Saccharomyces cerevisiae S288C: one gene and its partner. The gene in region 1 interacts genetically with each later gene. Each region holds a gene or a part of one and is shown in the gene's direction. Other genes may lie near its edges.

Region 1 (5,932 bases):
AATCTGGCTACCGACAACCCTGAGGCGATCATAATACTAATCAAGATCTTTTTGGTGTGTGATCAAGAATTAGACGCAATAAAGCTCACATACGATATGCTTTCGCAGGATAAAATAATAAACAACACTAATAACCGCATGGATTATAAATCTGAATTACTGTGCTTACAAGCGCAATTTTTGATAGACAAAAGGCAGGATTACAGCTTGGCGCAAAACATAGCGCAAGAGGCAGTCAATTGTTCTCCCAGTGAATTTAGACCTTGGTATCTTTTATCCAAGGTGTATGTAAAGCTAAATGATATTGAAAATGCCTTACTGATACTGAATTCATGCCCTATGTCTCCATTAAAGGAAAAATACGTACTGAAAAGAGTAGCTCCGTTGCCTTCGAATAATAGTCTTCATTTGCCATTGCCAATTGACGTTGTACTGGATGAAGTGACGTCGTTGAATCCACAAGACGTTCAGAATGAACACCGCTCTGCGGATCCAATGCTGGTCAATTTAGCTGCGTCGAACTTGAAATCTACTTTCCAATTGGCATACCGATTATTGACAGAAATTGTGCAGATCACCGGCTGGGAAAATCTGTTAAAGTACAGATCAAACATTTTCGTTATGGAAGAAGAGTACCAAAAATCATCATCTTCGTTACCAAAGGACGTTAACAAACAAGAAGAACAGCCTCTGAGGGCTAAACGGCTGTGTGAACGATGGTTAGACAACCTCTTCATGCTTTTATATGAAGACCTGAAGATGTATACATTATGGCAAACCGAACAACTGTACATGGATGCACAGAATAACAACCACAATAAGTTGACTTTCGAATGGGAGTTATTTGGCCTTTGTGCACGTCGACTGGGCCATTTCCCTGAGGCCGCCAAGGCCTTCCAGAACGGTTTATCGCAGAGATTTTCATCAAGGTGCGCGAGGAAACTGCTGGAATATTGTATAAACGAACGCCAACGGGTCAAAAATTTTATAAACTCACCTAATTCGCATGACATGGTCCCTGAAATAGTAAGCTCACGCATAAGAGAGCTAGACAATAGCATTATCGACCTTTGCGTGAAGATATGCTGCTGGAACCACCGTTGGTATACGGAATTTTCCATAAGTTTACTTGATTGTTTAAGTGTGGTTATTCAAGATATGAGTCTGACCAAAGTTTCGAATGAAATCTCGTCAAGATATCCAGAAACTGTTCTCAACTTGGTGCAGGAGAATTTGCTCAATTTCTTCACTACTTGCACCATTGGATGCTACGATGCATAAATACGATAAAAAGACATTAATACGTATATATAATCCAAAAAAAATTGGCGATACGCTTCAACGTTGTGTCAAACTCTTGGGTCACTTTAAAGAAAACCCAGCATACATTAATACAGAGCAATGCTGGTTATGTAACTTCGCCGCCCGCCGCCATTCGAGGAAAAATATTCGTGTTTCGAGAATGCGGGCAAAACGAAAATATCAATAAAACACATACGGGAAATTCATTGTGCACAACGACCTCTAACAATTTCTGCCAAAAAGAAAGTTCAAGAGCGTCCCATTCATCATGAAGGAAGAGCTCAGCAAAGTGAGCAGTATGCAAAATTTCGAGATGATCCAGCGTGAACGATTGCCAACATTGTATGAAGTGTTAATACAGAGGACATCGCAGCCAGTTGATCTCTGGACTTTTTATACATTTCTTTCACAATTCCCATATGCCATCAACTATCTGGACTTTTGGGTTGACCTTATGACACATACACGACTTTGCAAAAACTACATAGAGTTGGTAAGAAAATCATTAATCAACTTTCCACAAGAACAACAGCAGAATGGAAGTACATCTACGGCTACATTTGACTTGCTGAACGCACTGATAGAAGAAGGGCACCTAGACCCGGAAGCACCTGATAAACTCTTAGAAAATAGCGGCCCAGACGTGCCCTTTTCACCAAAATTAAACGAATTGCTGGGTGATTGGAAGCACCAATCGGGTATCGGTCAAGAAGCCCTGAGAAACGAAGACGTAGCGCTGATCGTCGACGAGATAATGAAAAGGCGCTCCCAACAAGACGGAAAACCGCAGATAACTACAAAACAACTGCTGCACAGCGCAGTTGGTCTCTGCAACACCTATTTAGTATCGCCCGAACAAAGCGAACGGTACCTGAGCAACATCCCCATGGAAACGCGGAACCGCATAATAGAAAGCGTACAAATCGAGCGAAAGTACGACATTGAGATTTTTGACGACCTAAAAAACCTAACTTACCAATTCCTAGAAATGGATTGTTTCCCAAAATTTCTAAGCCGCGTCGCACTACACAACATCCACGATGAAATATCTGATTGGAGATTCCACTCAGTGGGCGTCACCAACGAAAAAAGCAATCGCTCTCGAGGCCAGACGCACATTTCTCGCTCGCCATTCTCCAATCACACGTCAATCAGTCGTATTGGCTTTGGTTTGCTCTGGCTAGGCATCGGCTTTTGGATCGGATATGTTCTAATCTTCCTGGCGTATAGTCGCGCAATCCGTGTCGTTACGGTCGTGCCATTTACACTGGGATGCTACTGCATTGTGTGTGGCATGTATCAAGTGGACATTGTGTATTCCTGGTTTGGCGTCACACAGAGACTTCTCCACAGACACAAAAACGCTGGCAATGACGAAGGAGATGCTTCTAGTGATACCGATCACGTGCCAATGATACTTGCGGTGTTCGGCGGTAGGCGCCGTCTTACCCGCATAGAGCACCCATTTACTCGGCAGCTTCTACGTAAGCGTGGACTGTGGTGTCTGCTTCTCGTAGTGGGTGCCACTGCCGCATTCACAGTTATTTTCAGCTGTGTTCCCGGCCGTCGTGTATGATGTAATCCATCACCCCCCTATAAAAACACCTGTGCACCGCATATTTCCATAGCGCGTGACGCTAAGTACAAGAAACAGCGAGGGGCCGTTAAGTGCAGGCTTTACCGAGGGCGCCGGCTGGCGCTTCCCGTGGAAGGGTGTTTGACTCATCATCGCATCGCATTACCTCATGATGAGTAAATAGTTGCGATTTCACTTATCACCTCTCGCGGAAAAAAAAGGCGATGACATGATATATAAGGCTCTCTCGTAAGACACTTAACTATCCAACGTTCATTAGATTATTCGGTCAATTTCTTTTTTCATGCCCCTCCTTTTTCTTTTCTTTTCTTGACTCGTCGTTTCTTTTTCTTTTTTTTTTTTTTTTTTTTCTTCAGAACTATAACACATAGATACACTCGAACATCTAATTGTTTAAATACTGCAAAGAATACAAGGTAATCGACTCTTCTACATACCCTTTTTGCAGATTTGAAATAAAAAAAACATTATATGTTTAGCTTATCGAACTCTCAATACACCTGCCAAGACTACATATCTGACCACATCTGGAAAACTAGCTCCCACTAATTTCATTGCTTAATAATCAGAAATTCTATCACAAACCACTCCTAAAAATATTTCAAATGTCCTCCGCTGCAACAAAAGCTACTTTCTGTATCCAAAATGGTCCTTCCTTTGAAGGTATATCTTTTGGTGCAAACAAATCTGTTGCTGGTGAAACAGTTTTCACTACTTCTCTGGTTGGTTACCCAGAGTCCATGACTGATCCTTCCTACCGTGGTCAGATATTAGTCTTCACGCAACCCTTGATTGGTAACTACGGTGTCCCATCCGGCGAAGCCCGCGATGAATACAATTTACTGAAGTATTTTGAATCTCCGCATATACATGTGGTCGGCATCGTTGTCGCTGAATATGCTTATCAATATTCGCATTGGACCGCTGTTGAATCTCTGGCACAATGGTGTCAGAGAGAAGGTGTTGCTGCTATTACTGGCGTAGACACCCGTGAACTAGTGCAATACTTGAGGGAACAAGGTTCTTCTTTGGGCCGTATTACGTTGGCTGATCATGACCCTGTCCCCTACGTGAATCCCATGAAAACTAACTTGGTTGCTCAAGTCACCACAAAAAAGCCTTTCCACGTCTCTGCCTTACCTGGGAAGGCTAAGGCAAATGTGGCTCTTATTGACTGTGGTGTTAAAGAAAACATTATCAGATGCCTAGTCAAAAGAGGTGCCAATGTAACTGTTTTCCCCTATGATTACAGAATTCAAGATGTTGCTTCTGAATTCGACGGTATTTTCTTATCCAATGGACCAGGCAACCCAGAACTATGCCAAGCTACAATTTCCAACGTCAGGGAATTACTAAATAACCCTGTTTATGACTGTATCCCTATTTTTGGGATTTGTCTAGGCCATCAACTCTTGGCTCTGGCCTCCGGTGCCTCTACTCACAAATTGAAATATGGTAATAGGGCTCACAACATCCCTGCCATGGATTTGACTACCGGCCAGTGCCACATTACATCTCAAAATCATGGCTATGCAGTTGATCCTGAGACCCTACCAAAGGACCAATGGAAACCTTATTTTGTTAATTTAAACGACAAATCAAACGAAGGCATGATACACCTTCAAAGACCCATATTTTCTACCCAATTTCACCCAGAGGCAAAAGGTGGTCCCTTAGACACAGCTATTCTTTTTGACAAATTCTTCGATAATATAGAAAAATACCAATTACAATCTCAGGCAAAAAGTTCAATCTCACTAAAAGTAACATACAGTACCGATAAATCGAGATTGCAGAGTATAAATGTTACTAAGTTGGCCAAGGAAAGAGTGTTGTTCTAAAAACAAAATTTATACATTACGTAACACATACGTACATCTAAATACGATTCAATTCAGTTCATGGTATTTTGCGCTACTCGTCGTTGCTTAGTATCTACTCGCAGTTGTCATAATTAACGGGCGCTTCTTGTAATTAAATGAACAAAAAAACGTAACGTACGTACAATGGCTCTAATTTCATCCTGCCATCCTAAAAAAAAAATCAAATAAAGCAGACTCAAAAATTTTCAGCTTCAGTTAAATTTTGATAAGTATATTTGCATAACTCAAGGAGTTTGTGCAAACGGTTTTCTTTCTTTGTGGTTTGTTTTATTTACTTTCCAATAATACCCGTCTTGTTGGTTTAAGTCGTAACAAAAGGAAAACTTACAATCAGATCATGACGACCCAGCAAGAGGAGCAACGAAGTGATACCAAGAATAGCAAAAGCGAGTCACCTTCAGAAGTTTTAGTCGATACTCTCGACTCAAAGTCAAATGGCAGTAGTGATGATGATAATATCGGACAAAGTGAAGAGCTATCAGATAAAGAAATATATACAGTAGAAGATAGACCACCAGAATATTGGGCTCAAAGAAAGAAAAAATTCGTACTTGATGTAGATCCAAAATACGCCAAGCAAAAGGACAAGTCCGATACGTACAAAAGATTCAAATATTTATTAGGCGTCACAGACCTTTTCCGTCATTTTATTGGAATTAAGGCAAAACATGATAAAAATATTCAAAAACTCTTAAAACAGTTAGATTCTGATGCAAACAAACTTTCCAAATCACACAGCACCGTCAGTTCGTCATCACGTCACCATAGAAAAACAGAAAAGGAGGAAGATGCTGAATTAATGGCTGATGAGGAAGAAGAGATTGTAGATACATATCAGGAAGACATATTCGTCTCAGAATCTCCCTCCTTCGTCAAGTCAGGAAAATTAAGAGACTATCAAGTTCAAGGCTTAAACTGGTTAATATCGTTGCACGAAAACAAACTATCTGGTATCTTGGCCGATGAAATGGGGCTGGGTAAAACCTTACAAACAATTTCATTCCTAGGTTATTTGAGATACGTCAAACAAATCGAGGGACCCTTTCTAATAATAGTACCGAAGTCAACACTAGATAATTGGAGACGAGAGTTTCTTAAATGGACTCCAAACGTCAATGTCCTTGTGTTACATGGTGATAAAGACACAAGA
Region 2 (4,694 bases), on another chromosome or scaffold:
ATCTATCCATAACGATACTGAGTCTGCTAACGATAGTAGCAATGGCAACGGAAACCTCGGTTTGGGTACAGAGTCACGCAATACATTGTTAACGGCAACTCCCATTGAATTAATCTGCCGGGAAGGCTTCTTCTACCGGAGAGATATTCCGGACGTTCCCATTACCACAGGAGCGTACCTGGAATTTAAATTCAAGGCGAAAGAAGAGGAATTGATCAACTCTAGCATCAATGAGGAGGATTATGCTGCTAAATCAAAGCATGAAAAAATGAATGCGCATTTCTTCAAGCCTGATATTCAAGAAGAGACGGAACTTGCCTTTGAAATTTTGAGCAAGACAACGCTGACAGAGAAATACGTTAACAGTTTGGAGTACTTCTTGATGGAATTCAGGTGGGAGAATAAACTAGTTGGTCTAGGCTTAAAACTTCGGGAATCCAAAAGAACCTGGCAAAGGAGAAAGGCGTTATTTGCCCTTTTCGAATTTTGGAGAGACCAATCAAGAGACAAAAGAAGATTCCACAACTACACCATCCTGCATGCGGTGAAAGAGATGGAAAACTACAGAATATTTATTAATCGATCCGTTTCATGGTTCTACAACCATATTACCCTGCTAAAAATGATCCTCTACGACCTCTGCGACAATGTGACCACTCAATGGAGAGAGTGGATGTTTCCCCATAACGAAACACTGCCGGCATTGGGTCAGGACGGCATTAACGAAGACAATCTGAATGAAACCATCGACAACATGTTAATTTTTGACTTCCTTGATGACGGTTCAGAAAACAACCAGGTCAAATATTCCAGAATCATACCGCCAGATATCCGTTAAGCTGGTCCGTACGTTGGGGCAGTTTCGAGAATAGATAAAAAAATGAAAAATAAAAAAAAATAAAAAAAACACAAAATAATGGACCGTTACTATGCCCAACCAAGTAACCTCCCAACTTATTTGGAACATTACATATTTAGCGCTTAACATTACATACATATTTAGCGCTTAACATTACATACACCTTTATCGACGAATTTGTAACTATTTCTTACTCTTGCGCTGAGGAACGCCCCAGTCGTACAAAAGCACCTCTGCATACTAAGAAACTTAAACTATCGCCATTGTCTCAAAATAGCAAAAAACGCAAAAAGCATACCGCTGGGCGCTTATCTATATTAACCTACACGAGAAAAGAAACATGATTGACTGCGTCAGATTCAAAAACCTGCAAAGTTTGTTTTTATAATTTTGGCGTTCAGCAAGCGCGCGGCTCCGCTCCATTAATATTCCAGAAAAAGAAATTCCTTCTTTGGGTGTTGTGTATTGCTACTTTGGGCAGGCGCGACCGGGCCAAAAGAATGCGGCACCCGGCAAAGACGCGTTCTGGCCCCTGAAGACTTAAGCACTGGAATGGCTCCGAGGATTGGTCACCCAGAAACAGGTGCAGACCAACCATTTCGAGATCTAGATGTTGCCTATTTCTCGAGGAAACGCTGCCGTTATCGCCATGTTTGGTGGAACAATTGTGAAACGTGATCAATTCGTGTTTGCAAGCTAGTGATCATTCGCATCCGAAAAAGAAACTGAAAATGTAAAACTCCAGTAAAACGAGACCTGTTGATGGATTGTTTCGTGTCTGGTATATATTATTGCTACTGCTCAAGAGAGCTTCTTTTTTTATGCTATCGAACTCGATCTTTCGCTCCGAAACACCTAACACTAACAAAAGGAATACCTGACAGAATACGCTATCAAAAGAACGAATATGACTAGTGCAAGTATTACCAATACTGGAAACGAAACCATGAACCTTCCACAGATGCGGTCGATTTGGCTGGATGAAGATGAAGAAGCTGAAAAACTCTACGGTCTGCAGGCCCAGCAATTCATGGGATCTGATGATGAAGAAAACCTAGGCATTACTTTCATCAACAGCGATAAACCTGTGCTGAGTAACAAGAAAAACATTGAGTTGCCTCCACTTTCACCAAATTCACATCCGTCTTGCCACCACAGGAGAAGTAATTCTAACTCTGCAAAGTCTAAAGAATCATCGTCATCATCGTCCAGCGCCAACAAGACAAATCACAAAAAGGTTTTCCTTAAGCTTAATTTGTTGAAGAAAAAGTTGCTTGGTGCCCAACCGGACATAAGAGGTAAAGGTATCTCCACACCATTTGATTTTCAACATATTTCACATGCTGACACTAGAAATGGATTCCAAGATGAGCAATTGCAGGAACCTTCATCGCTGTCCACAGAGATTAAGGACGACTATACCTCCTCCTCAAGCAAGCGGGATTCGAAATCACTAAATAAAGCTTTTGTCACTGAAAGGATCCCTGCTAATCGTGAAAGCAAACTCATTTCAAGATCGCACGAAAATAAGACATCAAGACTATCAGTCGCGCGTTCGATCTCAGTAACGTCCTCCAATTACTCTAAAAACACACAAGGAAACAATCATTCCATTAATGGGAGAGTCGTATCTACGTCAACTATGGCTACATCTATTTTTGAGTATTCCCCAAACGCATCTCCAAAACAATTTAAAAATAAGTCACACGCTCTGGGTCATAGATACACTAATTCCACGGATTCTAGTGAGTCTTCGCTGGATTTTTTGAAGAACTACAACTTCCCCACACTACTTGAAGATAAGCCTATTTTAGACTTCTTGCCTCGTTCTCAGAGGTCAAGCGCTTATCGTAGCCTTTTAGAGACCCCAAACTCAAATAAGGACTCAGCAAAAGCCTTCTTTCCTTCACGCCAAAGCCCTCTTCCCAAGAGAAGAAACTCTATAGCTACGCCTTCTCCACAATCTAAATTTTCCTACTCTGACTCCCCTGTAAACCATAGAAAATCTTTCGATGATGTTCTTTATTCTTTCAACCAGCTCGAGCCCCTGCAAACTTAAGCTAAGGACAGAAAATGAAAAAAAAAAAAAAAAAAAATTCAAAGAATCAGCTTATAAAACATATTCAAGGACCATCTGAAGTATCATTCATTCGTTTTTTACTCGTTAATCTCATTCATTCGTTTCCTCATTCTTTTTTCTTTGTTCTTTATTTCGGCTATTTTTTCACTATTAAAATAACTAGAGCTAACAATATTATTTCTTCTGCTTTAGTTACAAAACAAGGACATTCATTTAACTTGGCGTTATCCCATACATTCGTTTATTATATCTTCTTTTAAAACACAATTTCTTTTACAGTTAAACTTTTCTGATTTATTATATATTACTTAAGATTGTTCATATAACTAACATTTATATGCTTATATGCGTGAAGTGCGCTTTTGTAGAACATGTGGCTGTTTCTGTAGAAGCCTTGTCTTTCTCTGTAATCCTTTAAAGGCCAACCGTACGTGCTTAATTACAAGCTTTGTTCGCATTGCAAGAAAGTTAGAAAAAAAATCAATTCTGAAAGATAATTATAATTCAAACGGTAAACCATTGGTTAAAAGAGGGACATAACATTTCACTAGTTCAATACATTATATGCTCTTTAACAATGACAGATAGATTAACACAATTGCAGATATGTTTAGACCAAATGACGGAGCAATTCTGTGCTACTTTAAACTACATAGATAAGAACCATGGTTTTGAACGATTGACCGTAAATGAACCTCAGATGTCCGATAAGCATGCCACAGTAGTACCTCCTGAGGAATTTTCTAACACGATAGATGAGCTATCCACGGACATTATACTTAAAACAAGACAGATAAACAAGCTTATTGACTCGTTACCTGGTGTTGACGTTTCAGCTGAAGAGCAATTAAGGAAGATTGATATGTTGCAGAAAAAGCTAGTTGAAGTGGAAGACGAAAAAATTGAGGCCATCAAAAAGAAGGAGAAACTTTTAAGGCACGTTGATTCTTTAATTGAAGATTTTGTAGATGGCATTGCAAACTCAAAAAAGAGCACATAAACTTAAGTTTTACAAAGAAATTTGCGAACAGAGGACAGAAAATGTACTATAGTTATATGGCAGAGTTAAGCGTATGTATGTTATTCTTATAAATAATTGTGCTACTCTATTTGTACCGGAGAATTATTGAAGCAATGGGAGAAAAATCATAATGGAGAAAATCTTTCTACGAGTTACTTTGCAAGGCAATCTAACGATTCTAAAAGACACAATACACTAAAGAAAAAACTTTGGAAGTACAGTTTTTTCCCCAAGTTGAAGTGTGGACTCATTGTGAAGATGTAAAAATGTAAAAACCAACCGACAATGCACTCCCAGCCAAATTCATTGTAGACCTCCCATTTGATAGAAAAGGAAGGTTCAGCAGTTGTCCACGGATTCCAAGATATCATTCTCTTACATTGCACGCACATGAAAATGATCATCGAGAGTAAGGATCCATACCATGCAAAATTAAACCAAACTGGAGAGTCTGTGTCTAACGTAATTGGCCATTTTTCCACGGCGAACGCATCTTCAAAAGTGACCTTATTTTTACCGTATTTAATATAGTAATTGTACTTGTATTGTTTGAAAATATATTCTTTGAAAAGATAAAGAAATTGTGACCAAGATAAGGTATGATTGAATTCTGCTGAAGAACTTATTTTGCCGATATAATATTCTATCATTGGGACTTGGAAATCGACTGGTAGTTGTACTGAGTCTATTAGAAAAGTGGTTCTTGGTATTACTGGGTACTCCATACATAGGAC

What was found.
Region 2: mutations in RAX1 (region 1) and GIC2 are lethal when combined (synthetic lethality), as found in Saccharomyces cerevisiae (one study listed by BioGRID).

Annotation. Positions count from the first base shown.
Region 1 is NC_001147.6:879,395-885,326, forward strand, and holds RAX1 (Rax1p), read left to right. Parts: upstream 1-1,570; coding exon 1,571-2,878; downstream 2,879-5,932. Other genes in the region: BUD7 (exomer complex subunit), read left to right, coding at 1-1,281; YOR302W (uncharacterized protein), read left to right, coding at 3,371-3,448; carbamoyl-phosphate synthase (glutamine-hydrolyzing) CPA1, read left to right, coding at 3,505-4,740; ISW2 (DNA translocase), read left to right, coding at 5,120-5,932. UniProt on the Saccharomyces cerevisiae protein: Required for the establishment of the bipolar budding pattern. Involved in selecting bud sites at both the distal and proximal poles of daughter cells as well as near previously used division sites on mother cells.
Region 2 is NC_001136.10:1,077,272-1,081,965, reverse strand, and holds GIC2 (Gic2p), read left to right. Parts: upstream 1-1,766; coding exon 1,767-2,918; downstream 2,919-4,694. Other genes in the region: SUM1 (Sum1p), read left to right, coding at 1-838; SRB7 (Srb7p), read left to right, coding at 3,517-3,939; PMT7 (putative dolichyl-phosphate-mannose--protein mannosyltransferase), read right to left, coding at 4,113-4,694. UniProt on the Saccharomyces cerevisiae protein: Required for cell size and shape control, bud site selection, bud emergence, actin cytoskeletal organization, mitotic spindle orientation/positioning, and mating projection formation in response to mating pheromone.